Oryctolagus cuniculus: one gene and its partners. The protein of the gene in region 2 interacts with the protein of the main gene of each other region in a pairwise test. Links are inferred from orthologs where the notes say so. Each region holds a gene or a part of one and is shown on either strand. Other genes may lie near its edges. The genes, in order: FAM133A, STAC3, ZCCHC10, C6H1orf35, L3MBTL2, PPARA and MAB21L3.

Evidence for each region.
Region 1: the proteins of STAC3 (region 2) and FAM133A interact in binary tests that used the Homo sapiens proteins (3 or more experiments, as listed by UniProt). The two-hybrid records come from large-scale screens. The link is inferred for Oryctolagus cuniculus from reciprocal best matches to the Homo sapiens genes STAC3 and FAM133A.
Region 3: the proteins of STAC3 (region 2) and ZCCHC10 interact in binary tests that used the Homo sapiens proteins (3 or more experiments, as listed by UniProt). The two-hybrid records come from large-scale screens. The link is inferred for Oryctolagus cuniculus from reciprocal best matches to the Homo sapiens genes STAC3 and ZCCHC10.
Region 4: the proteins of STAC3 (region 2) and C6H1orf35 interact in binary tests that used the Homo sapiens proteins (3 or more experiments, as listed by UniProt). The two-hybrid records come from large-scale screens. The link is inferred for Oryctolagus cuniculus from reciprocal best matches to the Homo sapiens genes STAC3 and C1orf35.
Region 5: the proteins of STAC3 (region 2) and L3MBTL2 interact in binary tests that used the Homo sapiens proteins (3 or more experiments, as listed by UniProt). The two-hybrid records come from large-scale screens. The link is inferred for Oryctolagus cuniculus from reciprocal best matches to the Homo sapiens genes STAC3 and L3MBTL2.
Region 6: the proteins of STAC3 (region 2) and PPARA interact in a two-hybrid assay, tested with the Homo sapiens proteins (2 studies listed by BioGRID). The two-hybrid records come from large-scale screens. The link is inferred for Oryctolagus cuniculus from reciprocal best matches to the Homo sapiens genes STAC3 and PPARA.
Region 7: the proteins of STAC3 (region 2) and MAB21L3 interact in binary tests that used the Homo sapiens proteins (3 or more experiments, as listed by UniProt). The two-hybrid records come from large-scale screens. The link is inferred for Oryctolagus cuniculus from reciprocal best matches to the Homo sapiens genes STAC3 and MAB21L3.

What each region holds. Positions count from the first base shown.
Region 1 is NC_091453.1:56,373,014-56,376,548, reverse strand, and holds the end of FAM133A (protein FAM133A), read left to right. Parts: intron 1-1,861; 5' UTR 1,862-1,964; coding exon 1,965-2,714; 3' UTR 2,715-2,849; downstream 2,850-3,535.
Region 2 is NC_091442.1:59,883,681-59,888,074, forward strand, and holds the start of STAC3 (SH3 and cysteine-rich domain-containing protein 3), read right to left. Parts: upstream 2,823-4,394; 5' UTR 2,582-2,822; intron 1,953-2,581; 5' UTR 1,952-1,952; coding exon 1,889-1,951; intron 1,636-1,888; coding exon 1,368-1,635; intron 1,144-1,367; coding exon 1,046-1,143; intron 842-1,045; coding exon 769-841; intron 1-768. UniProt on the Homo sapiens protein: Required for normal excitation-contraction coupling in skeletal muscle and for normal muscle contraction in response to membrane depolarization. Required for normal Ca(2+) release from the sarcplasmic reticulum, which ultimately leads to muscle contraction.
Region 3 is NC_091437.1:21,523,359-21,527,917, forward strand, and holds the start of ZCCHC10 (zinc finger CCHC domain-containing protein 10), read right to left. Parts: upstream 3,063-4,559; 5' UTR 3,060-3,062; coding exon 2,830-3,059; intron 1-2,829.
Region 4 is NC_091437.1:246,568-250,853, forward strand, and holds the start of C6H1orf35 (multiple myeloma tumor-associated protein 2), read right to left. Parts: upstream 2,928-4,286; 5' UTR 2,827-2,927; coding exon 2,582-2,826; intron 2,496-2,581; coding exon 2,450-2,495; intron 2,347-2,449; coding exon 2,264-2,346; intron 2,170-2,263; coding exon 2,097-2,169; intron 1,959-2,096; coding exon 1,873-1,958; intron 1,303-1,872; coding exon 1,171-1,302; intron 1,076-1,170; coding exon 958-1,075; 3' UTR 1-957.
Region 5 is NC_091442.1:117,288,923-117,292,761, reverse strand, and holds part of L3MBTL2 (lethal(3)malignant brain tumor-like protein 2), read right to left. Parts: intron 3,511-3,839; coding exon 3,377-3,510; intron 1,160-3,376; coding exon 1,036-1,159; intron 341-1,035; coding exon 261-340; intron 1-260. UniProt on the Homo sapiens protein: Putative Polycomb group (PcG) protein. PcG proteins maintain the transcriptionally repressive state of genes, probably via a modification of chromatin, rendering it heritably changed in its expressibility.
Region 6 is NC_091442.1:120,675,272-120,679,782, reverse strand, and holds the start of PPARA (peroxisome proliferator-activated receptor alpha), read right to left. Parts: upstream 3,137-4,511; 5' UTR 2,982-3,136; intron 2,974-2,981; exon of another isoform or gene 2,619-2,973; intron 1,975-2,618; 5' UTR 1,904-1,974; exon of another isoform or gene 1,870-1,903; intron 1-1,869. UniProt on the Homo sapiens protein: Ligand-activated transcription factor. Key regulator of lipid metabolism. Activated by the endogenous ligand 1-palmitoyl-2-oleoyl-sn-glycerol-3-phosphocholine (16:0/18:1-GPC). Activated by oleylethanolamide, a naturally occurring lipid that regulates satiety.
Region 7 is NC_091438.1:54,356,614-54,361,096, forward strand, and holds the start of MAB21L3 (protein mab-21-like 3), read right to left. Parts: upstream 3,030-4,483; 5' UTR 2,842-3,029; intron 1-2,841.

The DNA of each region.
Region 1 (3,535 bases), on a different chromosome or scaffold from region 2:
CTGTTTCCCATAGTTACTCAGACATCTACCCATCTATTCATGTGTTTGTTTGTTATTGAACAACCATTTGTTGAGTGCTCAGTATGGGACAGATGCTGTGTTATGTACTGTGGTGAATAAGATGGGTCAAACATGGTCTTTTACCTTCGTTGAGCTTACATTTACCAGTGAATACACACACAAATATATACACAGACACATAATCAAATAAAATCATTACCAATTTAATAAGTGCTATGAATAAAAAATGAGGAACTAGAGTACAGAAAGATCAGGATGAGTGGCAGACAGAAAATCAGCCTACTTTAGTATCAGGTTGAGCCGTATGAATTTGTTGGTATTTGAACTATTTGTCTCCTTTAAAATTGACCAGTTTATATATAGCTCAACAGTAGCCCTTCTGAAGAATTGACATTTAAGCTGAGATCTGAAGAATGAGGTTGAATTGACCATGTTGGTTAAGCTTGGCATTCAGCTTATTCCAAGAATCAAGAGAAGATAAGGCGATGGAATTGAGAAAAGGGGTGAGTGACTATAAATGAAAGTAGGAGAGAGAAACAGAGCAGATAATATGGGATGTATAAAGGAGTTTTGATTAATGTTCCTTAAGATGTAAAGCAGCTGGAGTGTTTTAATATCCTCTGATTGTAATGTGGGACTAGAATAGAAGGAAGTACAGGCAGAAATAGGACTACCAATTCAGAGGTTGATATAATGAAGAGATATAATAATGTTGTGTTATGTGTTTAGGGTTTGGAATCAAGCTGCCTTGGTTTAAACTTGGTTCCACCATTTATTAGTCCTTTTAATTTATGCAAGTTACACTTGAATAGAGATAATAATAAGATCAATGTTATAGGTTTTTTTAAATGTTTATTTATTTTCATCTAGTGAGAGAAAGGAAGAGAGAGGCAGACAGGCAGAGATAGAGTCCTTCCATCTGCTGTTTCACTCCCCAAATGCCTGCAACAAGGCTGGGTCAGGCCAATACCAGAAGCCAGGAATTCCATCTGGATTTTTCACATGGGTAACATAGACTCAATTATTTGAGTCATCCATTTCTGCCTCCCAGTATACATTAGCAGGAAGCTCAGTGACAAACAGGCTAGCCTGTACTGGAACCAGCTATCTGATAGGGAATGCAGCATTCCAAGCAATAGCTTACCCTTTGCAGAACAGTGGCCACTCCTTGTATGTTTTATTCTAGGAATTGAACAAGAATAATTCATTGCAAAGAACTGAATGCTTCCTGACAGATAATAAACACTTTAGATATTAGAGATTAATAGTTCAAGTGAGAGATGATAATACCCTTGACTATGTACATGACAATATATTTGGAGAAAAGTGAATGGACATGAGACACACTGTGGAAATTTAAACAGGAGAATTAGTAATGGATTAGATGTGAGAGTTGAAGGGAAAAATATTTTTAAGATTTTGACTACCAAAAGGAGTAGAGTAGATTGTTTTGCACTTTCCCAAGCTGGAGAATGTCCTCCTGGTACAGATTTTAGCTCTATAATTTTTTAGATATATCATATTAGGCAATAATGAAATGAAAATTGGTAAATATCATATGATATAAAAATAAATACTTATTAAACATATTACATACTTGCCAGAGCCCTACAGGAGGTAAATAAGACATTTTAAGTTAGTGTTATGTTCATACCACAGTACGTATAATATGGAACAATCTTAAAGTATGTGTGTTTATAAATCTTAAATGTTTGTTCCCAAAGCATAAGATTTTGGAAATCTCTGCTGTACTATATTATAGGCAGTGATAATTAAGCTTATGTGTTTATTTTGTCTTATGTTAAAGTAGTTGTGTAACCATTCCATCTTTCTTTCACAGAATGGAGCCTGCTTGGTATACCAGCAGATAAAGAGAATAAGGAGAGTGTCTATCCTTATTCTGCTTTGCAACTGATAAGCTACTCTGGGAACCATAAGGCATCATGGGGAAGCGAGATAATCGAGTGGCCTATATGAATCCTATAGCCATGGCCAGATGGAGAGGCCCAACTCAATCTGCAGGCCCAACAATACAAGATTATTTGAATCGGCCAAGGCCCACCTGGGAAGAAGTAAAGAAACAATTGGAAAATAAAAAGAAAGGTTCCAAGGCATTAGCTGAATTTGAAGAAAAAATGAATGAAAATTGGAAGAAAGAACTTGAGAAAAGCAGAGAGAAATTGTTGAGTGGAAATGAGAACTCATCCAAAAAAAGAGAAAAAAAGAAAAAGAAAAAGAGGAAATCTTGTCAATCTTCGTCCTCTCCTTCATCAAGCTCTGATTCTTCAAACAGTTGTTCAGAATCTGAGGATGAGGAAAAGAAACAAGGAAAAAAGAGAAAGAAAAAGAAGAGCCGTTCATACAAATCATCAGAAAGCTCTATGTGTGAATCAGAATCAGAGAGCAAAGAATCTGTGAAAAAGAAAAAGAAGTCAAAGGATGAAACAGAGAAAGAAAAGTATATTAGAAACCTCAGCAAAAAAAGAAAGAAGACTCATCCTGAGGATAAACCTTTGTCATCTGAGGCCTCATCAGAATCAGATTATGAAGAGGAAGTGCAAGCAAAAAAGAAGAGAAAACATGAAGAGCAAGAAAAAGCAATGGAAAAAGTAAAGAAAAAGAAGAAGAAACAGCACAAGAAACACAGTAAGAAGAAAAAAAAGAAGTCTGGTTCAAGTCATAAATCAGGATGACATCAAGAAAAAAAGTAAGATTTCCTTTAAAAAAAAGTCTAAAGGAAATTTCAACTGTGAAAATTAGGGCATAGTTACCAACACGCATGAGTTTCCCTGTGTTAGTAGAGTTGTTCCTGGACTCAAATGCCAGTAAAAAGCCACTGTGCCAGAAAGGGCCATAATTGTTGCCTGCAGCTTAAATATAGGATTTTGTTTGTTTCTTTGTCTTTCTTTCCAGTGGTTAATTCCTCTGGAAGGTAAAAACTCTGTTGTCATGTTAGTGGATAAAATGTTTGGAATTAAAATAAAATGTTTTAGATAATGGATTGTTTTGACCAAAAAAAATTGATTCTAAGGTTAAATGTATCTAATTTTTTTTGCAGACATCTTCAAAATATATTCAGACAACTGTAGTTCACATTTCTGAAGCAAAGACTTAATATTGATATATCAAAATCCTTACTGTTATAGATGTTCAGTTTATTTTACTTTTTTCCTTAAAAAAAACTTTTGTTTACATGGGGAAAGGGCTTGGGGGGTAGGGAGTGTTTGCTAATTACTTTGGCTAGCTGAATAGTGTGCCTTGGATCCTTGCACATTCTATTTTTGCCAGTGCAGCAGCCATCCATTCTTTATTCAATGAAATTCTGGGATGTTATTGTGTGCTGCTTTATGAACAACAAAGATAACAATTTACAAGCATGAGTAAGCCCCCATATTTCTGAAATTTACCTCCACTTCAGCACTGTTCTCTGTGCAGTACTGAATAATATTTAGTATTAGCATATTACATGATTTGAATTAACTTTGATAACATTTTCAAGGGGAATCATTTTAAA
Region 2 (4,394 bases):
CTAGGCCATTAGCAGGGAGCTGGAGTGGAAGTGGAGCAGCTGGGACTTGAACCGGTGCCCATATGGGATGCTGGCACTGTAGGCAAAGGCTTAACCCACTGAGCCACAGTGCTGGCCCCCTCCAGGCAAATCTTATTTTTCTCAAGATTGCCTCAAACAGGGCAATATTAACGCTGCAACCGAGATGGCTATAAAAGTACTTATTACTTTTGTAATAGTCCTTATGAGGGTACTACAAACATTTATGAAAAGGTAGAATTAAAAGGTTTAGGAAGCGGATGGTTAGCCTCGCAGTTGTGATGCCTGCATCCCACATCGGAGTGCCTGGGTTTGAGAACCACCTCCAGCTCCTGACTCGGCTTCCTGCTAATGCAGAGCCTGGGAGGCAGCAGTGACGGCTCAAGCATCTCCACATGGGAGACCTGAACTGAGTTACTAGCTCTGGACTCGGCTCACCCTAGTCATTGTGGGTATTTGGGAGAGTGAACCAACGGATGGGAGCTCTCTGTCTCTCTCTGCCTAAAAAAAAAAAAAAAAAAAAAAAAATCAATTAAAAAATTATTTTGGTGCAAAAAATATTCAAAATCCACAGTTTTTTTCTGACAAGCATTTTCCACAAACTTTTTGAAGACCCTTTGTATTAGGATGAGGGAGAGTCATGGGAAATAGAATGTTCCTGTTTCACACTGTGGCTTCCAAAGCTAGAGGTGGTATGCAACCATCTCTGAGGTTTGCCCCATTCCCTCAGGTCCCACATGGGGCACTTACAGAGATCTTTGACACAAGCGTACTGCTGGTTGCTGTAGAGTGGGGAGCTATAGGCCCGGCGGAAACCAGGGGGCTGTAGGATGGGATGGGAGGAAGTATTAGAGGCAGTAGTGCAGGGTCCAGAACCCATGTCTCCCATGAGTGCTCGCCCCTTCTCAGAGCAAGAGAAGGGCTAAGAAGAAGCAGGGAGAAGAAAGGGATGACTTGAGGGGGAGCAGCAAGGGCACAGCTAGCGAGTCCCCCACTTTTCCTTTCTTGCTCCCCAGAGCCTACTCACGATCTTGCCGAAGCATCTCTGCATCTCCACGTAGGGCTGACAATGTTCATGGATGTTGGTTTTGCAGTTCTTACAGCGAAGCCCAAATTTGTTGTTGACTTGGGGGAGGAGAGAACATCTGTGTAAGACCCCGGCTTGCCCTTCTTTGCACCAGAGTTTCCTCTCCCTTTTTGGTTTGGGACTCTATACTCTGAATCTCTTAACAGCCATCTCCCAAGTCAAATCTTGCCACCGGCCACCTGCTACCAATATCACTCTCCTAAACCCTCTCCCGCACTCCCTGCCTCCACCCTCACTTTCTCTGCTTCCCTTCATGACTCACGCACAATCATCCGGGCACAGACATCACAAAACTTTGGCTTCTTGAAGAAATGATCTTTGAATTTGTGGGGCTTATCGTTGACAAGCTTAGGAGGCTCTGGGGGTGGCTCCTCCTCCTCCTCCTCTTCTTCCTCCTCTTCCTCATAGATGTAGTAGATGGGCCCACCCCCAGCTCCCACCGCCTCCCCATTGGCCTGGGGTTCTGGGGGAAGCTCCATCTCCTTTGTCTCTGTAGACCCCTTCCTGAACAACTGCTTCAGCCGTTGCAGCTGAGGGAGGGAGTGAAGGAAACCCAATGTTAACAGGATTGTCCTGGCCTCCTGGAGTAGCTAAGGCTACAGCTAGCCACATTGTTCTTGTTTGGGGCAAGGAATGCAGCCGGGGGTGGGGTGGGTGGGGTCAGGGGAGCCACAGGTGCTGGCTAGTCATCTAACAACACGCAGAGACCAATCAAGCACTTTCCTTCTGGCCGGCAATGGCTTCCCAGCTCCCCCCACACAGCGGTCAATGGCCCAGACTCACCCCACTTTGCCCAGCCTCTGCTGGGGAGGGCTTGGGGGACTCCGGTACCTCCTTTTCTGTCATCCTGCAAGAGGTTGGACTCCATAGGAAATCTAATCCCTGACTACCTTTCTTCTTGTCTTTTCATTCTTGTCTCATGGGGGGTAGGGTGGTCTTTGAAAGGGAGGCTTCAGGAAAAATCTCGCAGAGACCCTATGGTAGGGCTATGAGCAGCAAGATTCCATGGAGGTCCAGAAGAAACTCGGCAGACGTCAGAACCTCCCAGCCAGTGCTATCCTCCCATCCATCCTTCCACTCTGACAGGCAGCCTGCTCAGTCCAGTAGGCTGTGCCTCTACACGCCCTCCCTGCAGGTTTGCTGTGCATCCCTGCGAGCCCACAAGGAGGGATGAGCTGGAGACACTGCTTCTCCCCTCTTTCTGGACTCCTGGGGCCCGCTGCCTACTTCTGTCCCAGCCTGCCTCAGGCCTGCTATTTTAAGTTTTCAGAGTAATATGAGCCTTTCCTTCCCTACTACTCTGTTCCCTCAACCCCACCCCCACCTCCAATCCCAACTCATCCTGGAGTAGAATAATGCCACTCCTAAAAACCCCACTACTTACAGATGAGAGGACACAGAAGCTGAATAGACTACGACTGGGGAAGTTGGGGAGAACAATCCTGGAGCAGGAAAGGGGAGCAAGAGGCAACTTACGTTTGGGGTTCCCTAAAGTCAGGCTGTGGAGGGCAGAGGGAGCCCCTGGGGCCTTGACGGTGGTGCTGGGGGAGGACTGGTTCCTCTTCCTTGGGGGCTAAGCCCCCCCAGTGCCGTCCGTACTCACACCAGCCACTCAGACGGTTATTTGTAGACCTCCTAGCCTCTTGCCTTGGTGTCAGAGCTGAAATGACAGGGCTGGAGGGAAGTGGACAGCTGAGCCACACAGCTGACACAGAGAAATCGGACACGGGAGGTCTGGGCAGGGCTGGACCCTAACTCCACCCCTCCCCCAGCTGCTGTTCCCTGATTCTTCATGTAGCAGGAGCTGAACAGGCCCAGTGCTGGGAGTTTCTGTTCACGCTGTGTGCCCATTTGAGGGGATGCAGATGACTGCAAGTGAGGGAAGATGAATTAGACCCCCAACCCCTCTCCCCAAGGCCCAATCACCCCCAACTCTACCCTCCCCGGAGCTCCTCTAGGAGCCAGGCTTCTCTTCTCTGCAGTTGTCTCCTGGTGGCTCCAAGTCCCTGCGCCCTCCAGCCCCCAGCTTCAGACCTTCAGGCTAGGATGGGCCACTTGACTGTCCTGTCAGCCACCCCACAAGGCTGCCTGACACCGGGCAGCTGCAGGGGCACCTTGCTATCCTGGAATGAGGCGAGGAATACACAGTACTGCTCTACTCCCCCCATTCCACTAAGATCCTGTCCTGAGGGTAAAGGGAATTGTAAGGGTTACTAAAGGACAGGCCGAGACTTCCACCTGAGGGGCTCCAGGGAAGGAGGGGCCAGTAACAAGGAAGAAATACTTGACGCCAGAGACTGTGGCTGCCTTCTGCAGGGAGTTTTTGTCATTTTTAAGTCCATTCTTCCTCAGGAGGGAGCTGTAGACTCTTTTGAAGGGAGGACGGCCAAGTCTCTAAACCACTACGGTTCCCCGGTCCCGTCGCCCACCTCTGATGCCCCAGCACGTGAAGTGAGAGGGCAGAGGCCTGGCTGGCATTCTCATCTCAGGGGGATACAGCCTTCGCCTTCTCTTTGGGCCAGGGCATAATTGAAGGAAGAGATACTCTGAACTACGAAAGAGGGGTTATCATATGCTGCTTTATTTCTTGTTATCTGTAAGAAATAAAGGACTGCGTCGCAGGTGGGGTCAGCCAAGTTCTTGGGGGGAGCCTGGCTAGAGATAGGGCCACCCAGACCCCAGCAATTTTAGGGGTTGCACTTTGCCACATCCACCCACTGCTCTTTATCTCTCCTAGAGGGGTAGGGGAGATTGAAACAGGTGCTGGACCACCCTGTACCCACAGGCTAGCTGTGGGAAGTCCCAAGTACTCCTGGCTCCTCTCTTCTTCCACCACAGATGGCAGGGAACACACATCTGGACACTTCAAGTTCAGCTGGCGTAGCTTTTACTGTTAAAAGCAGCCTCTTCTGTTCCTGCCAGGTAGAACCCAATCCTCTGGCTTTAGGATTCAAGAAAGGTCCAAGTCCTCCACCTCTGAAGGGCTTCTGGAACCTTTGACAGACGGGTACGAGGCCAGTATCTCAACTTGGCTGTGAACATCACTCACCTTCGCCAGTTCAGCCACAGGGCCAACATGAGTCCTGGAATTCAGGGCTAGAAGGACCCTCAGAGGCCACTTTGTCATTGAGCTCTTATTTTACTGATAGGGACACAGAGGTCCAGAGTTGAGGAGGGAGGTGCTGCTCAGTGAATCACAGACCTAGAGACCCAGCCCCCATCAGAACTGTGAGCAGGGAGGAGGATGGCTCCGAGGGAAGAGTGCAGGGAAGTCAAGTGTCAATGCTAG
Region 3 (4,559 bases), on a different chromosome or scaffold from region 2:
TTTTTGTTATAAATAAAACTTTCACACATATCCAAAGTACATCTATAATTAATATTTTATTTTTATGCTCTAAACACTAATAAACTACCTCTAAAATACTAATTTTGGGGCCAGTTTTGTGATGTAGCATGTTAAGCCACCACCTGTGATGTGGGCATCTCAGATGAGTTTTGGTTTGAGCCCCAGTTGCTCACTTCCAATTCAGCTCCCTGCTAATGCGACCAAAAAAGCAGTGGAAGGTGGTCCAAGTAGCTGGGCTCCTACCACCAACATGGCCAGACTTGAAAGTTTTTAGCTCCTGGCTTTAGCATGGCCCAGCTTTTACAGCCATCTGGGAAGTTAATCAGAAGATGGAAGATTCCTCTCTCTAATTCTGCCTTTCAAATAAACAAATTAATGTCTTAAAAAAAAAATTAATCTTTCGGGGCTGGTGCTGTGGTGCAGTGGGTTAAAGCCCCGGCCTCAAGCACCAGCATCCCATATGGGCACCGGTTCTAGTCCTGGCTGCTACGCTTCTGATCCAGCTCTCTGCTATGGCCTTGGGAAAGCAGTGGAAGATGGCCCAAGTCCTTGGATCTCTGCACCCTTGTGGGAGACCCAGAGGAGGCTCCTGGCTCCTGGCTTCGGATCGGCTCAGCTCCAGCCAATGCAGCCATTTGGAGAGTGAACCAGCAGATCAAAGACTCTCTCTCTCTTCATCTCTACCTCTCTCTGTAACTCTGTATTTCAAACAAATAAAAATAAATCTTTTTAAAAAATTCATCTTTCATATAGATTGCTAATTTATGCTTTCAAAATAAGCCTCCACCTGTGATGCTGGCATCCCACATGGGCACCGGTTTGTGTCCTGGCTGCTCTTCTGAAGTAGAGGATGGCTCAAGTGCTTAGCACCCTGCACCCACATCAGAGACCTGGTTCTTCAAGAAGCTCCTGGCTCCTGGCTTTGGATAGGCCCAGCTCCAGGTATTGTGGCCTCTTGGGGAGTGAACCAGAGGACAGAAGACCTCTCTCTCTGTCTCCCCCAAGATCTCTCTGCCTTTCAAATAAATAAATCTTTAAAGGAAAAAAAAAAAAAAAAGAATGACAACAGACCTTTCTCAGTTCTCATAACTTAAATACAATTTTAAACATATTATTATAAAAGTCATATATGCTCCTTATAAACAAAATTAACATTTTTTGACTAACATAATATGAAAATAAAATGAAAAGCAAAGACTCCTCTCCTCTCCCCCAAATACATCCCTAAAATTCTTTTGCACGTCCCTAACCTCAAAATAATCTTCCTTTCCTGAATCCCTGGGGGTATTACAATCTGTACACCACAACAACTTATATTATACCTCTTCCCAACAAGACCACAAGCTGCTCGAGCTCTGATCTGCCTTTTACTTCCAATGTACCTCATGGACCAAACACACACACTATACAAAGAAAACATTTAACTTTCTGATACTTGTGAATGAGCACTACTACGGATTTTGATTAGTCAGCATTCATCTACCTTTGACCCGTCCACCCAGATCATCCATTCATGGTCATCCATTCCACTAGGCTGGGAGAGGAGACCTCTGAGTCAATTGTAACTTCAAAATCCCACAGGTGTGCCAAGGCAGTCAGGTCACTGAAGTGCAGCCAGCTCCAAGCTGAGAGGATATAAGGGACCCTGGCATACTGCATTAGGAAGAAAACAGAGTCTGTTCCAGTCTGGAGCCAACATCCAGGAAAGCAAACCTGAGCAACAGAGGCAGAAGCAGAGAGGCAGAGACGGAGACCTAATGACATCAGTTAGCACTGAGCCTCCTTTCACCACCAAGCTGACTACTCTGACTCCCTGAGTCTTTATCATATTCAGGGAACTCTCATCGGGCCTGAAAAGGGAGAAACATAAAAAACATAAACATATATACGTTAATGGACTCTGAGCTATGCACTATAGGTGTGCAAAACGATGATGGTGTGAAACACTGAGAATGAAGAAGTAGCAGATGTGTTGGTAGGAAAGAAGGTTTTGCAGGAAAAGGGCCTCCGAGATGACCCCTGCATTGTCGGCTCACGGCAAACCTCTGGCGCCGCTGTCCTGCTAGCTCCTTAGGCACACTGGCCATCTTTCTGCTCTTGAGAAGTAAATTCTTTCTGGCCTCCAAGCAGTTTTGCCACTGTCTGGATGTTCTTTCCACACATCGTCTCAGGACCGGCTGCTTTCTCCCCATGGCCATCTCTGATCAAATGTCGCCTCTTTCCACCACCAAACCTCGTGTCCGTCAAAGCTGACCAAACTAGAGACCGTCCCCATCACCGGAGCGTGAGCTCCCGAAGCAGGGGCTCCATCGGAATGAAACACCTCTTCGTTATGCCCAAGCTCTGGCGCCGAGCCCAGGGACTACATATTTACTCAGGGAGAGACCGGCAGTAACTGAGAAGTAGCTGCTGGTTGAGTCCAGGGACGGCGATGGGAAGGGGGCAGCGAAAGACAGCTGGCCGGGAGGCTGCCGAGGGAGCTGCAGTTTACCTCCGCGGGAGCGGAGGGGTCCGACCCGGCTTCCCTTGCCCACGCGCCGTGCGGGCAGAACGGCCTAACCCACGGAGTGACCAACCCCCGCGTGCTGCCTTCTTGTTCCACGACCCCGCAAGTCTCTGGTCACCAAACTTATCGCCCGGGCCGAGCCCCGCGGACGCTGGCAATGTGTCTGAGCAACAGCCATCCTCGGCCGCTCCTCGGAGGGGGTCCGACGCCCAGCCGCGCACCCCTGCGCCGGCTCAGCCGCCGGCTGACGCGCGTCTCCCCGCCCCCAGCCCGTCCGGGAGCCCGAGAGGGCCCCCACTTACGCTTGTCTCCGGGCTATGAGCCGATGCATGGGAGTCGCCATCTTAGCGCGGCCGAGGCCTGCCGCGCTGAGTTTTGGGAAACTCCTCGCAGGGGGCGTGGACTTGGACCCGGCGGCCGCGGCGTGGGCGGGGCCTCCGGGCGGCTTCTGGGCGGGGCCTGCGGGCGGCCTCTCTGAGGAGGCCGAGGGCCGGAGGCGGGTGCGTGCGGACGCCGCTGTGGGTCCGTCCATGGGGCTGAGCGAGGTTTGCAAGGACGGTGACGGGGAAGCACATTCCCGAAAAGGAAAAGTATGTATTTTTAAGATTCGTGTGTATAGGTATCCCCCACACGCAGAGATACTGAATGAAACTACTGTGTACCGGAAAGCAGAAGTCTGGAGAATAAAATAGTGAGCGGGCCCTGGATCCGAGAGAATGGGTTTAGCACATCCTCAAGTGAAAATGGTGTTAACTGTTCATTGTTTAATATATTCACAGCAATGTTATAAGGACCAAAGCTGCTTTGGCAACCAGAAAAAGACCATCGCAAATATTACTTTAGAAAATTGTAGCTATACCTATTTGTAGTATCGACTCATGGAAATGTTCTCCCAAGTCCACAATCTTTTCTATATATATATATATATATATATATACACTCTTCATATGTATAATTACTCCAAAAAGTTAGTGAAAATGGCATTAAAAGAAAAATGTACATTTCCCACCAACTTTTCTGAAATCCTGCTGTATATATTCTTGTCTGTTTCTAGGTCACCCATTTGTATTTTTCAATTAATAATTATTTAGTAAAGTGTTTAGGAGCTTGAGATGCTGTGTTGTTCAAGTTTAGACCCTTGGGCACATGGAACTTTCTACAGATAATAAACAAAATCTGCTATGATTAGGGTGTTTTCCCCCGATAATTCATGTGTTACAAATTTAACCACCAGGGCCAGAGCTGTGGTGTGTCAAATAAAGCATCCGCCTGCAATGCCGTCATCCCATATCTGCACAGATTCAGGTCCCACCTGCTCCACTTCTGATCCAGCTTCCTGCTAATGTGCCTGGGAAAGCAGCAGAAGATGGCCCACATGCCAGGGCCCCTGCACCCACAGAGGAGGCAGCTCTTGGCAGGAGGCTCCTGGCCTCTGTCTAGCTCTGCCCTGGCCTGGTGCAAACACTTAGGGAATGATCTGACAGATAGATGTCTCTGTCTCTTCTGCCTCCCTGACCTTCAAATAAAGAAATAAATCTGAAAAAAAAAAAAAAAAGAAATTTAATCCCTAAAGTCATATATCAGTAATATTTGGTAGGTGATTAGGTAACGGAGATTCTGCCCTCATGAATAAATGAATCTATTTTCAGATTAATGGATTAATTTGGTTATTGAAAGAGTAGTTTCGTTATGAAAGTGAGTTCTCTTTGCCGTGCTTACTTGGTCTTGCAATATGATGTCCTCTACTGTATTATGATGCATTTAGAGTGAACCAGTGGCTAGGTTTACCCTTTGGCTGGCTGTCTCTGTCTTCCTCTGTACTTCTTTGTTTCTCTGCCTCTCAAGTAATCTTTTTAAAAAGGAAAGAAAAGGAATCCCAAATAAAGGAGTAAAGTGATTAATTTTGAGAGTTAGAGAAGGTAATGATGTCAGCTTTGAGTACAGCTTGTTCTTTAAAGAATGGATTATTGGGCGTTGTGCCACAGCAAGCTAAACTGCAGCCTGCCATACCGGCACCCCATGTTGGAGAACC
Region 4 (4,286 bases), on a different chromosome or scaffold from region 2:
TGCGTTTAACCCCACCACCTGGGACAGAGGCTGCCAGCTGTTCCTGCCTGCAGCCCCCACCCCCAGGCAGAAAACAGCATGGAGCCTCCCTCAGCTCCTCTGATACCTTGCCCTCTGTGGGCCACCGCCCTGGCCAGGTGTCCCTGCCTGCCTTCACCTGAGCACAGTCTCAGCTCTGGCTGGCCACCTGCAGGGTGAGGACCTGCAGAGGGTTAGGGGTGTGGTCTGGATCTTAACCCCATCCTCACAGGAAAGGTTTCCTGTGTGCACAAGCACACACACGGGAGCACAGGCTGGGCTGTCTGTCCACACCTACAAGTGCCAGCACCTTCATGTCCCCAGAAGCAGTCCTGCCCAACAGCACCTCCACAGGTGAGCAGGCAGGCAGGTGGGCCCTGGGGGCCTTTGGCTCCCTGCAGGCCCCCCACTCCCAAGCTGCCCCGACACTGTCGTCCCTCTGGGGGGGTCCTCCCACGGTTCTACCCTGGCCACGTGGGAGCACGAGGGGCTCCCTTAGGGTGTTAGCGGTCACCAGGGCCCTGGACAGGAAGGACAGGTGCTGGGGCCACCTTCCATTCTGTGATGATACACTCTGCTTTTAATATAAACTGAAGTACAAAACTGATGTAAAGAAAAATAGAAGTAGCCACACTCAGCCATAGCTACAGCCTCGGGAGGGCCGGCCTGGGGAGGCTGCAGAGGGAGACAGGACAGAGAAGAGACCTGTCCTGGAATACAGGCTCCCCTGTGCTGGGAGGGCCGGGGGCTGAGGCAGGGCCACAGGGACACCCTGGGCTCGCAGTCTCCCTTCACTGGGACCTGGAGGAAGTTCACAAAACAGGCCCCTGCTCCTGAAGCCCAGCAGGCAAGGCTAGGGTCCCTCTGCCTCGACCTGGACAGGAAGGGCACCCTGAGGGGGGTGCCCCCGGGACCTGCACAGGCCTCCAAGGCAGGGTCTCAGGCATCAGAGTCTCTGGCGTGCCGCTGGCGGGAAGGGCTCCTCCCACTGTCCCTGCTGTCACACCGCCTCTTCTTGCAGCAGGGGGAGTTGCAGTCACGCTGGCGGGGTTCAGGCCTGGGCAGACAGGGATGGTCACTCAGAAAGGACCCAGCGTGCGGCAGCTGCCCATCTAGCCCAGCTCCAGTCCCCCTCCCCCTGGGCTGCCCTACCGAGCAGGGGATGGGGACGAGGAAGAGGAAGTGGCCCCTCTCCTGTGCTCCTTGTCTTTCTTCTTTTGTTTCTTGTGTTTCTTCTTTTTCTTTCTCTTCTTCTCTTTCTTGCTTTTCCTGTGGCTCTCAGAGCTGCAAGGGGGGTGCAGAAAGGGCCTCAGCCCCAGCCCTCGGGAGACAGGAGACAGCAAGCACAGGCGGCCAGTTCTGTCCCGGCCAGGGGAGGAAGATGGACACGCTTGTGCTGTCCAGGGCGGCAGCCACCAACGTAGCGGCCTCTTCATGCTTGGTCCTGGTCAGCCCCTCAGCCAAACAGACCACATCTCAAAGTGCTGGGCGGTCACGTGTGGCCAGCAGCCGCACCCTCACTGTGGCAGAAAAACTCCCCAGCAGATCCAGCAGTGACTCAGCTCTGCCTCCCCCCAAGCTAGCCAGGGCCAGGCGCCATTGCCTGCGCCTCACCCCAGCTCAGCAGCTGTCCTGACCCCAACCCCTCTCGGCAGGCACATTCAGCCTGGAGATGGAGACCGGCCCTGCTCGCCCGCCGAGGGCAGCCCAAAGAGGGGCTCAAGGCCAACCAATCCTGGCCCTTTCGTGGGTGCCGTCTCTGAGCACACGTCTGTGGGAAGAAATCCCGAGCTGCACCCCCGCCCCTACTACACACACACACCCCTGGAACTCCGGCTCACGAATGCCCCTTACTCAGGCTCCGCCTTGTCCTCGGCGCGCGGTTTCCTCCTGGCTGAGGCCGGCGAGGTCCCCCGCCCGCCATTCTCCACGCGGTGGTGCTGCGGGGGAAGCGGCGCTTTGGCGAGGGCGCGCAGGTTGACCCCACGCCTCGGGGAGACCCGCCCTGGGCGTCCCCCATCCCCCCCCCCCGCCGCCCCGAGGACCCCAGCGCGTTCGGGCTGGGGCAAAGAGGTTACCGTGAACACCGACAGCCCCAGCTTGGCAGCCTCTTTGTCCTCCCGGGACAGCGCCACTCGGCCCGCGGAGCCACTGCGGGGACACGGAGGTGAGGACGCCCCTGGATCACCGCCCGGACCCTGCTCCCCGCTGGGCACCCGGCTCCTCCTCCCCGGGACTGCCGCACCTGGCGCTGCCCAGCCCCAGCAGCCGATCCACGCCCTTCTCCTCCGGGTCGCCGGCTTCCCGCTTGCAGATCTCCACGAAGTCCTGCGGGGTGCGCACAGGGCCGGGAGAGAGGGCCCGGCGCCGCCCGGCCCCCGCCCCCGCGACCCCCGTTTCGGCCCCCAGCTCAGCCCCCGCCTGCGGTTACCTCTTTGCTCAGGCCGGTGGGCTGCTTCTTCACGTTCTTGTAGCCTCTGCGAGAGGGCCGGGGCACCGTCAGGGCGCCGTCGACCGCCCGCGCCCTCCGCCCGCGCCCTCCGCCGCCCCCGGGGACACTCACAGCGCGGCCAGCAGCGCCTCGCGCTCCGCCTCCCGCACGGCCGCCAGCTCCTCCTCGCGGCTGGGTCCTGCGCGCGGCTCCCGGCCCTTGGCGTACCAGGTGAGGTCGCGGCCCTTCTGCCAGCGGCCCACCGGCGCCATCAGCGAGTTGCCCAGGTAGTTCTCCCGCTGCTTGTCGGTCTTCACGTCCTCCCAGTTGAACTGGTCCTGCCCGCCGCGCACCCCGCCGCGGCTGGACCCGAACATGGCTACAGTGCCGCCGCACGGGCCCCGATGACTGTCGCCGGCTTCTGGCCTGTCGCCGCGCCTAGCCGCGCCGCGACGTCACGCCTGCGCCGGGCCCCGGGGCGTCGCACCTGCCAGCGCGTCACGCCCCGGCCCGGCCCCGCGCGCCTGCGCACCACCACCCACCTCGCAGCGAGCACCGACGCAGGCACCGCCCGACTGGGCCCCCGCGCCTGCGCAGTGCCCCGTCGCCGAGCGGGCGCTGGAGGGGCTGTGGAGCCCGGGTGGGCGCGGGGCCGCTGCCTGAAGTCCCCGCCGATCGCTGCGATACAGACCCAGGAGGACCAGGTTCCGGGTGCGGCTCCGGCGAGGGCCCCTGCCCCCCAGGCCGCGCTCTCCCCGCAGCCGCTGGGCGTCGCGGGAGGGGACAGCGGTTACCGGAGCGAGTTTGGTGGGTTCTTTTCCTCAGCTTAGTATGGAAATAAGCTGGAACAGCTTGCAAAGAAGTGGGAAGTTTGCTTCCCGTTTTGCAAGGCTTTCGGGAAGTGCACACGGTTTTAAGGCTTTGCTGTCTTCGTTGGGTCTTTCTGTGGGGGTGCCCATTGGACCGGGTTCCACATACTGCATGCCAATAGCAGGGGTCTCTCGGAGACAGCCTGATTCCCCGTAGGGGGCTCAGCTAAGTTGAAGCGGAGGCCGGCCTCGCAGCCATTCTGCACGAGGCGTTCCAGCAGCGTCTGGGGGCCCGCAGACCCCTAGCCCCCAGACAGGGTCAGGTGGCAGGCCAGCGGGCTGTGAGCAGCCCGGCGACTGCTCGGCCTGGCGCCGCGCTCCCGCCAGCTCGCTGCTGGCCGCGGCGCGGGGCACCCGCTTGCGGCTGCCGCCCCGCCCCGGCTGCTGCGGGTGTTTGGGGGAGTGAACCAGCAGATGGAGGGCTCCTGCTTTCTCTCTCTGTCGCCCTCCGCTCCGCCCCGTTCTATCACATAAAAAATTAAGAGATTTATTTATTTATTTATTTGAGAGGCAGCGTTACAGACAGAGGGAGACACAAAGAGGTCTTCCATCCACTGGTTCACTCCCCAAATGTCCACAACGGCTGGAGCTGCGCGGATCAGGAGCCAGGAGTTTCTTCAGGGTCTCCCACGTGGGTGCAAGGGCCCGAGCACTTGAGCCATCTTCCACTGCTCTCGTAGGCCGCAGCAGAGTTGGACTGAAGAGGAGCAGCTGGGACTCGAACCGATAGCCATATGGAATGTTGCTGTCACAGGCAGAGGCTTAACCTGTGCTTAACCACAGTGCTGGCCCCATAAACTCGTTTAAGTGTGTGCCTTAAACTGCTGTAACATTACTAACAAGAAAGTCCAGAGCAACCAAGAAGCTGCTCAGAGCTGGCCCTGGGTCGCTGTCGTCACTCTGAGCCTGTGACTCAGTGTCAGGGAAGACAAGTCAGTGCACTTCTGGAATTCTCAAGTAATTGGGTT
Region 5 (3,839 bases), about 57 Mb from region 2:
GGACTTGAACCTGTACTCATAGGGTTGCCAGGGTGCAGATGGCTTAACCCGCTGTGCCGCAGCGCAGCTCCGGGAGTTTTGAGGAGCAGCAGACTCAGAGCATGGAGCCGGCTGACAGGGCTGAGCTCCTTCCACCTGGCGCGCACTGCAGCTCTGCGGCACCGCACCAGCCTGGCACCGTCCTTGGGAAGCGGTGTGCACACCAAGGCCAGCGCCTCCGCTGTGTGCCCTGCCCTCCCTCTGCAACCCGGGGCACTCACGTGTTTGAAGCAGCTGACAGGAGCAGCTTTGTAACTGTGATCCTTCAGGAACTTGCCCCAGTCGAAGCCCAGGACCAGAGCTGTGGAGCAGAGAGGAGATTGGCGCCTGGAAGCCCGGTGGCAGCGCTGTGGTCACTGCACTGAGGGCCGGCGGGCTCAGCAGCAGTCGCTCTTCCGCAGCAGTCCCAGTGCGCCCAGACCTGTCCCACCAGTGGCCACCAGGGGGTGCAGGCAAATCTAGACGCCGCCAATCCTCGGTAGAGGAGCACTTACAAAGGAGTATCTCTCCCTTCTTATCCCAAGGAAAGGGAAATGCCAGTGTCCCTGGGTTCAAATTCCTCACACCCCTCAGCCTCTCCTTGGCCACATCCAACCCAACAGGGTGGAGCAGCACAGAGTGAGGCCCAGACCTGCTGGCGGGGAGGCCAACTTGGCAGAGCTGCGAGGGCCTACACTTAGTTTGCTACACACACACACAGAGAAGGTTCCTTTTGTTATCCTAACCCCGGACTGCCGCCCCTTCAAACCAGACTTGGGCCTCCACTGCCCCAGAGATAAGAGAAACAAAAGAAGCTAATTCCTGACTTCTGAGGGGTGAGCCAGGAGCTTTTAGGAGGTAACTTCCAGGACAGCCCACAGGAAAGGGTGACGGGCAGCGAGCCTGGGCCAGGGGCTTTCCAGTGGTCCAGCTTTCCCAGCCCCCACTCCCAGGGAGGGCCAGCCGGGTCCCGGCCACCACCGCAGCCACTTTCAGAACCTGTCCCTGCTGTCTTACCGTCTTGCCCTGTGGGCGTCCCATCGGCCAGCTGTCCAGTGCCCTGGGAGTGCAGGAAGGCTCCGATTTTAGCAGACCAGGCCGCCTTGTGCAGCACTTTGGCTTTCTTGGTTGGTGGTTTCCCCTGGAGGGAAAAGAGAGGCCGTGAGGTGGCGGCTAAGGATCTGGATCGGCACTGTCAGGATCCGCCTGGTCTTGTTCAGTTACTTATCCTCTTCTGGCTTGAGTTTGTAAAACACAGCGTGGACAAGGCCTAGCTCAGAGGGTGATGGTGGTGGTGGGTAGTCAGCGGAGCAGGGGCCTCTCCCTACAGCTTTAGCTCTGTCAGCTCCTTACTCTGGTGCTGCTACTGAGCCACGCAGAGAATAGGCTGGGCGGGGGTGAGGTGGGGGAGGGTGGCACCACGAAGTCTCTGCTCCACGAGGCAGCATTCCGTACACAGGTAATTGTGCTCCACGGAGGCTCCCGTGCTGTCCTCAGGTACTCAGAGGAGGTCACCCCCAAAGGGAAAGGCCAGGGCCCTGGTGCATACTTTGTAACTTACGCACTGATCAGAAAAGCCAGGAATTTACCACAGATCAGTGAGGCAGAAATGGAGGATGACATCCCACACAGACTGGGGGCCAACCCCGGTTCTGAAGCTTTCTATATCTTTTACTCAAATGCTTAAACTCTTAAAACAGGAATTTGTGTAAAGTCAATTTTTTAGGATCGTTGTTTAGACTGGGAATGCCAAGCCCTCAACAGGTGTCCCCCGATGTCACTATTACCAAGTAACATCACGAGCTCTCTTTCATGCGTTGCATAAAACCCACAAAACGAGGGAAGCAAAGGCAGTGCAGTGAGTGAGGCACCGGCCGGAGCCAGCTCAGGGCACTGCCACCAGCATCACGGTGGCAGGCAGAGTCACCGGCGAGCTCTTTAAATCCCCAAGCCAAGATCACACTCCTTCCCTGTTAAGCCAGTCTTTGGGTATAGGACCCAAATATCTTTTTTTTTTCTTTTTTTTTTTTTTTTTTGACAAGTAGAGTGGACAGTGAGAGAGAGACAGAGAGAAAGGTCTTCCTTTTGCTGTTGGTTCACCCTCCAATGGCCGCCGCGGCTGGCACGCTGCGGCCAGTGCACCGCGCTAATCCGAAGGCAGGAGCCAGGTACTTCTCCTGGTCTCCCATGGGGTGCAGGGCCCAAGCACTTGGGCCATCCTCCACTGCACTCCCTGGCCACAGCAGAGAGCTGGCCGGGAAGAGGGGCAACCAGGACAGAATCCGGCGCCCCGACCGGGACTAGAACCCGGTGTGCTGGCGCTGCTAGGTGGAGGATTAGCCTAGTGAGCTGCGGCACCGGCCCCAAATATCATATTTTTAAAACTTTCTAGAGGCTGGCACTATGGTGCAGCAGGTTAATGCTCCGGCCTGCAGCGCAGGCATCCTATATGGACGCCAGTTCAAGACCTGGCTGCTCCCTGCTAATGCGCCTTGGGAAAGCAGCAGAGATGGCCCAAGTGCGTGGGCCCCTGCACCCACGTGGGAGACCTGGAAGAAACTCCTGGCTCCTAATTGGCCCAGCTCTGGCCATTGAGGCCATTTGAAGAGTGAACCAGTGAATGGAAGACTCTCTCTGTCTCTACCTCTCTGTGTAACTCTTCCAAATAAACAAATCTTTAAAAAAAAAAAAAAACCAAAACTTTCCGGATGTTCCGAATGCACAGTCTCCTTTGAGGCACGTGTGCACGTTGGGAAACACCCACGGCCGGCAGCTGAGCGTAGGCTGCAGCCCAGATCCCAGTGCTCTCCCTCCACAGAGCTGCCCTGGGTCAGTCGTTCCACCTCCCTGCACTCGGCACACTGCATCATCTTGTGGGTCTGACAACAGGTGCCTAAGACAAGTGTTTCCATCCCTAAACTTCTATAAATGTCAAGAGCTTGGCAAGACTTCCCAGGTGGCCACCCATGAGACACAGTCAGCGACAAGGCATCGGCTTCCTGATGCCGCTGTGGCTGCTGAACCTTGCGCCTGTATCCCAGCTTCCCTTCAAGGCATTTATAAAAGCGTGCAGAGAAGAGCAGGGCTTCCAGCTCTGATCAGAACCTCCAGGACTCTCACTTAAATTTATTGAATATGAGCGACTCTTGGGGGTGGAAGGATAACAGCAAGCTCTTAATGAACAAGCTCCATAAACTGACTCCTCTGCCTACTGAGGTTTGAGAGCACAGCAAATTCTCAGAAGAAATGTCCAACCTCAGACGGCCAAAACAGGGAGCTTCCCAGGTCCTCTGGGCCTCCAGTCAGCTGGTCCTCTTTTAGCACCCAGGGCCCTGGGGGCCGAGCGGCTGCCTCTCACCTGTAATCTAGCCAAGATGCTGGCTTTCTTGGAGTTGGAGGAATAGCTCCTGGAGCAGGAGACGCTGCAGAACCTCTTGGTCTTGGAGAAGAAGGCTTCCCTTGTGCCCACGATACCGCACATCTCACAGACAGCTGGGAAGAGAACTTAGCACATGACTCACCTGGTACGGTCGCCCCAAATCAAACCCAATGAGGCCTTCAATACCTGGGACATTGCACTAACCAGGTGAGTGCCAGCCCTCACTAAGGCTGACACAAGAGGAGGAGGAGGAGGTGGTGGAGGAGGAGGAGGCGGAGGCCACACTGAACACATCTGAACGGACCTCACCTAAGCGAGGCTGCCCGGCCTCCCTGGGCTGTGTGTGTAACAGCGGGGCTAAGGGAACTTCAGAAAGACAACTGGGGAAACAGGTCAGTGAGGAAGTTTTCAAGACAGAGAAGTCAAAGAGAAAAACATGTAT
Region 6 (4,511 bases), about 61 Mb from region 2:
GTGAGCTGCGGTGCTGGCCCCCACACCAGACCTTTCAAAGACCTCATCCTATACCATCCAATCAAATGCAGCTCAACTACCAAGATCACCACACCAGGGCACCCCCGGCCAGCGCAAGGGCTGCACGAGCTCCTCTTCCAAGTCCCAGAACGTGGCCACACGTGGGGCAGAAGTAGAGGACACACTGCCAGCCTGGGGGACTGCCTGTTGGCCATGGAACAGACTGGATTATCCAGCGCACGGCGCAGCTCAGGGCAGGCCAACGACTCTGACACGTGGAGGAGACAAGTTCTTTCCGATCCGCCACCTCTGCTACTTAGTCCTCACTTCAAGCCTTCCTCTCACCAAACTGGAAAATCAGATTCTGAGCTGGGGTTTCCCCAGCCACGCGGCCTGCAAGGTGACCTCGCTCCCCTACGTAACTAATAAGGCTGAAGGGACAGATGCCATGCCTTGTGAAACACTGACTCCATCCCAAGCCACGGAAACCAGAAAGCGCAACAGAGACCCTCACATTCCAAGAGAGCAGCCTCAGGCCACTTGCACTAACTGCAGGGCCACACCCTTAGCATGCCGTGAAGCTAAGACCCCAGCCACCTGGAAGCGAAGCCACGCATCCCATTTGCCATGAAGAATTTCCCCACTCACACACAGTCTATGAAAGGCAAAAGAGAAAAATTGGCATGTTCAAACTTTGTTTTCAACAAAGAAACATTGTGATTAATGTGTTTTTAAAAGGATTATTATAAATCCATGTATATATATATGTATGTATACACACACACGTATACATATACATATATATAAAACACAGGCGCTTACGGGCAGCAGGCAAGAGAAAGGGCCCAGGTCACCAACCGCCAACCCAACGCACAAAGCAGCCCTGCCAAAATGTCCCCTCCCTGCCCACCTGCCCCTCACCCTGACCAAGGGTGACAATCTGTGAGCTTTTGTCTATACTCTAGTATGGAACCCAGTTTCACCAGAGGTCCGCGGGGGTCTCGTTCAACACTGGGCACAGTAGCCCACAGCAGCCACTCCGGAAGTAGCTATATGATGAGCCGATTTTAAAAGTCTGTGGAAAGCGGAATTAAAAGTTCACTTTACAAAAAGAAAAGTCTGAAATCTGTGCATATGAAAGGCTTTCCAAGAGTGCGTGGAAAATGCCCATTATGAGCAAACCACGCACACGTTTCACATCTTCTCAGTTTCGGCTTTCCACAAACTTTCTGAAGTAGCCTTGTCTCTACAGGGACCGGCTAAATAATTATTGTATCTAAATGTAATGGAGTATTAGACAAATGCAGGCGCATTTCATTCACCTGGAAGCTGCGTCCGGGGATGAAGCAGCCACAAAGTATTTGCCAAGAAACACAGTTTCTCCTTGTCTCTCACACCTTGTCTCTCACACGCACGCACGCAAGGGGCTGCTTTATGATGCTGGTGGACCTTGGTCAGGCGTGTCAGACTTGAGCAAACAGAAAACCTCCTCCTCCACCGTCAGTTCCCGTGCTTCTGCTCCCAGTCCTGGAGACCGCTGCGGGTGGGCAGCGACCACGCACACCCTCCCACACCGGGCCTGCGGCTCTGGAGCTGACCCCGACCCCCAGGTCACCTGCAGTCTCCCCACACGACAACAGCCCTTCCCCAGCGCCCGCTGAGTAGCACTGCTTCTCAGAGTCACCGCATCTCCCTATGAATCACAGGAAAGCAGCCAGCCAAACCCACATCAGAACTCCCCAACTCAGAACCCAGAAGCAAACCTATCCCGGGGTCTCCTGGGACACAGGGAAAAGACATGAAAGCTTTGCATCACAAAGAAACCATTAACCCCCAAACTTACTGCAGTGGAAACAGACCCTTCCATACCTCACCCTGGAGACTGAAATCAAACTCTGTTTACCTTCGGTGACACCGCCTTGCTTCTGAGCTTGTCACTTCTCCCAGAGGCAGGGCCCGGGACTCCAGCCCTGGCTGAGGAGGGACAGGACGAGACGGTTACAATGTGTTCCCTGGATGCCCCCCAGCCTCCGGCCCTTGCAAGGGGAAAGTCACGGTGACCCTGCCTTCGCCCAGGGTCGTTCTCAGTGAAGCCCCGTGCTCCTCCTCCCTACCAGCCAGCAGCCCTGCGAGCGGGGGCGGGGCGGGGGGCGCCCTGATTCCCTTGGGAATGGGGGTGGCAGGGGTCGCGGTGCCTGTGCAGACCCAGCCGGCCGAGAGCGCTCCACCTACTGCCCAGTCCTGGAGTTTTCTTAGAAAGAACCCTGACATTTGGGGCACATCTCTTCAACTTTTTTTTAAACAGGGGTTTGGGTAACGTGGGGGCGTGCCATGGTCCCCCCACCAACCAGGGTGGGCGCTGGGTAGAGCCGACCCCCCCTTCCCAACCTTGCACCCGCTCCAGCGGGCCAGGCCGGACCGGTCCCGAGGAGCCGCGGGAGGCCGGGGACAGGAAAGACACCTCGCAGCCCAGCGGAACCTGCCGGGGAACCCGCGGCTGCCCACGGCGCCCGGCGCACAGGGGCCCAGGCGCGCGACAGCAACCGCGCGCGCGTGTCCCCGTCGGGCTGCAGGACGGCGCGCACCGGCGCCGAGAGTCTGTCCGGGACACGAGTTACCTAGCCTCGGGGGTCCCTGGGGGTCTCGAAAACGCCCCCAGCTCTGTGACACTCGAACTCCACAGCGCACCGACGTCCCCGCCGCGGGCCTGGCCTCCCAGGGGACACCGAAGGACCCAGCGTCAGGAGGTCTCCGGCTCCGCCGACAGCCTCGGGCGCTTGGAGGGGCACCGAGCGAGAGCGGCCCCTGGTCCCGGGACCCTACTCGGGTCCCCGGCGAGTGCCCTCGCCCCGCGCCCCCGGGCCATGCGCATGCGCCGCCCGGCCCCTCCCGTCCGCGTCCGCCGCCCTCTCGGCCCGGGGCAGCAGAGGCCCGGCCCGGCCCGCGCCGCGGACCCCGCTCGCGCCGCCCACCCCCGGCACCTGGGCCCGCGGTCCGCCGCCTGCTGGTCCGCGGGGCGAGCGCCGAGGGAGGCGGCGCCAGGCCGGGCGCTAGCGGCCGCCTCCGCCCCGCCGCCCCTTGCCCGCGCCGTGGGGCCGCCGCGTCCCGGCCCTGCCCGGCGCCGCCTCCGCCCGCCCGTGCCAGCCGCGCCCCGCCCGCGCCACGCGCCGCCCCTCGGCGCGCCCCGCCCGGTCCGGCCGCGCGGGACCGACCCGGAAGCCCCGCCCCGGGCCCCGGCCGCGGCCCCGCGCGGGACGCACCCACCGGACGGCGGCGCCCGATTGGCCGCCGGCGGGGGCGGGGCCGGGACAGCCCTCGCGACTCCCACTGCGCGCCCCGCAGCCGCGGAGCTGGGGGAAACTGAGGCCCGGGAGGCAAAGGGACTGCCCAAGGTCGCCCCGCGGATGGCTGGCGTGGGGGGCGGGGAAGGGGAGGCGAGGGTCCCGCCGGGCGCCCGTGCCGCGCTGGCGAGGCCCTGAGCGCTCGCGGAACTCGGCTCCGCACGGCGCGACGAGGGGGTCTTGGCCAGGGCCCGGGGACCGGTGCCTAGGGTCTCGGGAGTCCGTGGGGTGCGGGGCGGGAGGACGGGGAAGGGCGTTCCGAGAGCCCCAGGACGCGTCAGCAGGTGGCGGAGGTGCCAGGCCGTGGGCACGAGTGTGAAGGGCAACGGGGACAGGGCGGGGAGGCGCCGCCAGCTCCGACCCCCGCCCCGGCTGCCGGTTCCCTGGGGGTGAGAGAGGACTTTGTGCCCAGCGAGGCGCGCGGGCCCTGCCAGCGCACTGGGAGGTCGCGGCCCCGCAGCCAGTGGCGAGGCTGAGGGGACAGCGCGCAGAGCCGCTCCGGGTGCGCAGCGCCCGGCGCCCCTTGCCGCGGGAACGAAACTTGTGCAATGTCCGCCCAGCGCCGCGGCGGCGGGCTCCCGGGGTGACCTCGTAAGTGAGCGGGCGCGGCTTCCACCCAGGTCACCGCGCCGCGCAGGGGCTGCAGACCCTGGCCTTGGGGCCATTTCGCAAGCTTCTTGGAAAGTCACTCCTGTCGGTTAGCTGGGACTGCTGTGAACTCTGCCCCACCCCCTGGACACCCACGCTCGATCGGGCCTGCCCAACTCTACCTGCGCACGCCGGCCAGCAAATGCCAGTCTGTGCGCCTTCCAGAGCCGGGCTGAACACAGACCCTGGTAGCTCCCCGGTGGACCCAAGCTGTGTTGGTTACCCAGCAGCAGGTGGGCTTCCTGCCCTCGGTGGGCCACATCCTGGCCGCGTGGGTGTTTCCTGGCTCACCCCAGGGCGCAGAGTCTCAAGACAGGGGTGTGTGTGTGTGTGTGTGTGTGTCCTGGTGGTCGCCCTGCACCCAGTGCCACCAAGTGGTGGGAGAGACCTGGCAAGAATTATGGATGCCTGCAAAGGACATACGGGCTTCAATCTCCCAGGTGCGCACTCCACAGATGTAGAAAGTGATATTCTTGGGTTCTCGGGGTTCCCAAAGCTTTAGGAGAGAAAACTTGTTTGTGA
Region 7 (4,483 bases), on a different chromosome or scaffold from region 2:
ATACAATGGTCCTAGGAGGTAGGTCTTAACACATCCCTTTTCAGTCCTTGACAGATCAAGTAGGTACAGCATTATGAAAATAGATGGACAATTTTACTATATGTTCCAAGAAAATGTGAAACATCACAGCGAAGAGAACCTTAAGCATTCTATATCCTCTGACCACAGAGCAAAACAGTAAGAAAACATTATGAACATAATAACTCCAACTACTTGGGGATTTTAAAAATAATAATAAAACAACAACAACAAAGACCCTCAAAGACAAGCAAGTGTAAAGAAAATAATAGTACACAAAACAGAAATCAGAATGATATAGAAAAATTACTCTGCTACACCAATACTTAAGCAATTTCAAATCTGGTTGAGAGATGACATTTCAAAGGAAAATCAGACATTTCAACAAGAGATGTCATTTCAGAAGAAAATCAATTAGAAAAATTGACTCAAAAAAAAAGTAAGAATATTTTAAGCAAAACCACTACAGAAACCATTATAAAACTGTTCCCCAAACTGCCTCTTAGACAATATGGGTCTCAGTTTACTGATGATTCTTTTCAACTTCTAGGGAATACACAGTTCCCATAAAATTTTTTATAGGGCACCAAAGAAACACAGAAAACACTCCTGGGTCCACATATCCAGACTTTATAAATCAAAACATTTGTCATGTTTTGTTGCTCTTCTTTTGTTGAAAAGGGCAACAGACAAAATGCTACTCATAAAGTTGAATTCTCCTGACTTCCATTTCCTTTCAACCTAATCCTTCTTCTGCCTAAGGAAATACAACTGTCCCGGCTATGGGTCCTCAAGGCCCTGAGATAAAGCTGGCATTTATAATTGGTGGGGACAAGACAAAGATGAGCAAGCCTGGGAGAGAAAACACTCAGGAGCTCAGAGAAGATAAGGAAAAGATAAGGAAATTAAATATTTTTTAAAACCATAAAAAGAGTCAGAAGATGGAGATAACCATTCATCTGAATTTGTGTATGTGAGTGCCACAAGCCAAAGGTGGTAAAAACTTCAGATAACAATTTTAAACTTCAAAATTAGAAAAAAGTTTCAAAATATAGAATGAGCCAAGAACTGGGATAGGAACCCATAAAAGAAATACAAATGGCTAATAAACAAAATGACCACAACTTTAGTTACCAAAACATGCAAATTAAGCCTTAACAATGAGCTATCCCCCTCATCTACTCCACCCATAATTTGATAATCTGCCAAAGATAAGAAAAAGGTAGTGTTTTAGGGTGCTATGGGAAATCTGGCCCTCATCTATTAACAATGACATTATAATTTCATATGAAGATTTTCATCAAAATTTTAAAAATCATCCCCATTGACCCAGTGAGTTTGTATCTTAATTTATCTGAAGGAAACAAGGGAGGTATGCCAACCTTCTGTATGCCTCATTTACAAAAGGAAAAACTAAGCTAAAATATCTAGCAATTAGACATTGGCTAAATAAATTATAATATAGCCATGTAATGCAAGACCTTGCGGCCCTTAAAAAGAACCATAGAAGGGCCAGTGCTGTGGCGTAGTGGGTAAAGACACTGCCTGCAGTGCTAGCATCCCATATGGGGGCCAGTTCGAGTCCTGGCTGCTCCACTTTCAATCTAGCTCTCTGCTATGGCCTGGGAAAGCTTTAGAGGATGGCCCAAGTCCTTGGGCCTCTTCACCTTTGTGGGAGACCCAGAACAAGCTCCTGGCTCCTGGCTTCGGGTCGGCCGTTGCAGCCATCTAAGGAGTCAACCAGTCAATGGATGACCTCTCTCTCTCTCTCCCTGCCTCTGCCTCTCTGTAATTCTGTCTTTCAAATAAATAAATAAATAAATCTTAAAAAAAAAAAAAAAAAGAGAGAGAGAGAGAGACCCACAGACGAGTGGGCATTTGGCTTAGCAAGCGGGGCAGTGCTTAGGATACCTGCAATACTCCACACTGGAGTGGCTGAGTGGAAGTCCTGGATCCTCTCTTGACCCAAGCCTTCTGCTACTGTGCACCCTGGGAGGCAGCAAGGGATGGTTCAAGTGGTTGGGCCCCTGCCAGTCAGTTGGGAGGTCCAAGTGAATTCCAGGTTCCTGACTTCAGCTTTGCAGAGCCCTGACTGTTGCGGGCATTTTGTGAATGAACCAATGAATGGGAGAACTCTCTGTCTCTCTGCCTTTCAAATAAGTAAAATAAAATAAAACAAAAAAATTCTTAATTCCTGAAAAACGTTCATTATATATAGGCAAATGAAAAAAAAATCACAAAACATTCTTGGAGAAAAGGTTAGGAGTGATTAATTCTGGACAGCAAGATTGCATTTAATTTTTCTTTTCCATTTAGCCTTGTGTTATCGAACATTTTTTTTAAAAATTGAACATGTTATTTTTATAAACATAAAAGAGGAAATAATATACAAGCACTAAAACTTGGTATCCAGAGCAGAGGGTGTCGAGATGCTAGGGGAGTGAATAAAGTGGAAAGGGCACAGGGCACAGGACAGAACCCACACGAGATGGAACTGAGCCCTCTAATATTCTTTTGTCCTTGAAATCCCAAGACCTTAAGGAGTCATATTTGATGTGTGGTTGAGCTTGTTTCCTGTTCGCGCAGGGACCACGGCTCTCAGGTTTCCTTACTTCAAACACAAGCTCAAGCTCTGGACAGGTCACACTTCCTGAGCACCCCTGCGGCCAGAAGGAATTTTCAAGGATCCTCCTCTCTCCAGAGCATGACACAGCCCGTGTCACTACTCCTGGCTTTCTCTCTCCAGCTCCCTTGTACAGCCGCAGACCCAATACAAACACACACACACACACAGTCCCAGTTACCTGTCCCCCCAACACTTACCCCTCCAACCGGAGTCCAAAAGAGGGAGAGAGAGGTCTGTTGGCCAGGGTCAGAGGCGACAGTTTTTATATAATCCACTGCTCCCGCCAGGAGGCTGCAGTCTCCTCCCGGATTCCTGGGAAAAGGGGAGGGCAGTCACTTCCCTCTGGGGGAAGGCAGCCAACACGCAGTGTCTGTAGTGAAAACCACAGACAATAAAGAAGAGGGAAATGTTCTTTTAAAAGTCATACTTCCTCAGTTACGTTATTGGTTGGCAAGTGAAGCAGCTTGAGTTTTCTTGCAACAGTTTCCCATCAATTGCATTTTTGGGGAAAAGTATGCCACTGCGGCCAGTTCAATAAAAACACGACCTTTTGTTTTAAAATCACTGTCGGTTTCTGTTGCTACAACTGATTGTAGCACTTCGAATTTCACACACAGGCGTCTCTCAGTAATCCTCACAGCAAAATTAAAGGCAGCATTGTTAACATTTCCTAACACAGATGAGGACTTGCGAGGGTACTCAAAGTGTCTTTGGGGAATATGTTGAACTACTCTGAAGCCAGCAGCTACTAAGCCTCACTTACATGTGAAGAGGAAGGTGAAAGAAAAGTTGGTGGCTCCTGGGAAGGTCTACTTTGCTCTGGGCCTTCACAGTGTGGCTGATCTGATAAGGAAGAGGGTACTCCCAAGAGGAAATGTTTATGTGCCCTGTGCAGATAGCGGAAGCTTCCTCTCCCCAGACAATAGGTTTTAGCATAATTAAAGCACAGGCCAGAGGGACAGCTTAGAAGTTAAAATTCTTTGTGGCTTGGAATTCTTGGACCCAGAAGAAATCTCAGCGTGAGGTCTCCTTTCCCAAAAAAACCTTCCTGGACACCTACTTCTAAATTGTATTTGTGTTTTGAAAGGCAGGCAGAAAGGAAAAGAAACAGGACACAGGGGGGTCTTTCATCTCTGGGTTCACTCCCCAGATGCCTTCAAACAGCCGGGGTTGGGCCAGGTCCAAGGTGGGGATCCTGGAACTCAATCCAGGTATCCCGCATGGGGGCTAGGGACTTAAGTACTTGAACCATGACTCGTTATCTCCCTGGGTGTACAGCTACAGGAAGCTGGAAGCGGAGCAGGGGCTTGAACCCAGGCACTCTGATACGGGATGCAGGCGTCTCAAGCAGCATCCTGATTTCCAGATCCACCCTGGAAAGAAATCCAGTTCTGTTACCAGCTAGCTTGCCAGACTTGGCCCGCGATTTTCTCTAACTTCACCCAGGTCTTTCATCTCTGCGGTACTTCAAACCCCTCTCCCAATTTTTTCTCTGCTCATCCCATTCAAGTCAAAGACTCTGGGAAGGCTTGAGGCTTGAGAAAGCCACTCCACTGGCCTGTGACAACCCCAAGCCTAATACAATGCCTAGCGCACAGCAGGCCCTTGGTACCTCCTGAATGTACCGGGAGGGGTGGCAGGTTAATGGTTTCTTCAAAGCAAATTATGACAGCAATCCCAAAGGGGCACCCTGGAGTGATGGAGCTGATTTTGCCATCTTCTCTTTGAGATCCTAAACTGGATTTGGTCTATCCACAGGGAGCCTGAATCTTGAGGTCTCAGTCAATCCACATTCTGGATTGACAAGCATGCTCTTCCACTCATTCTGGAGGGAAAAAT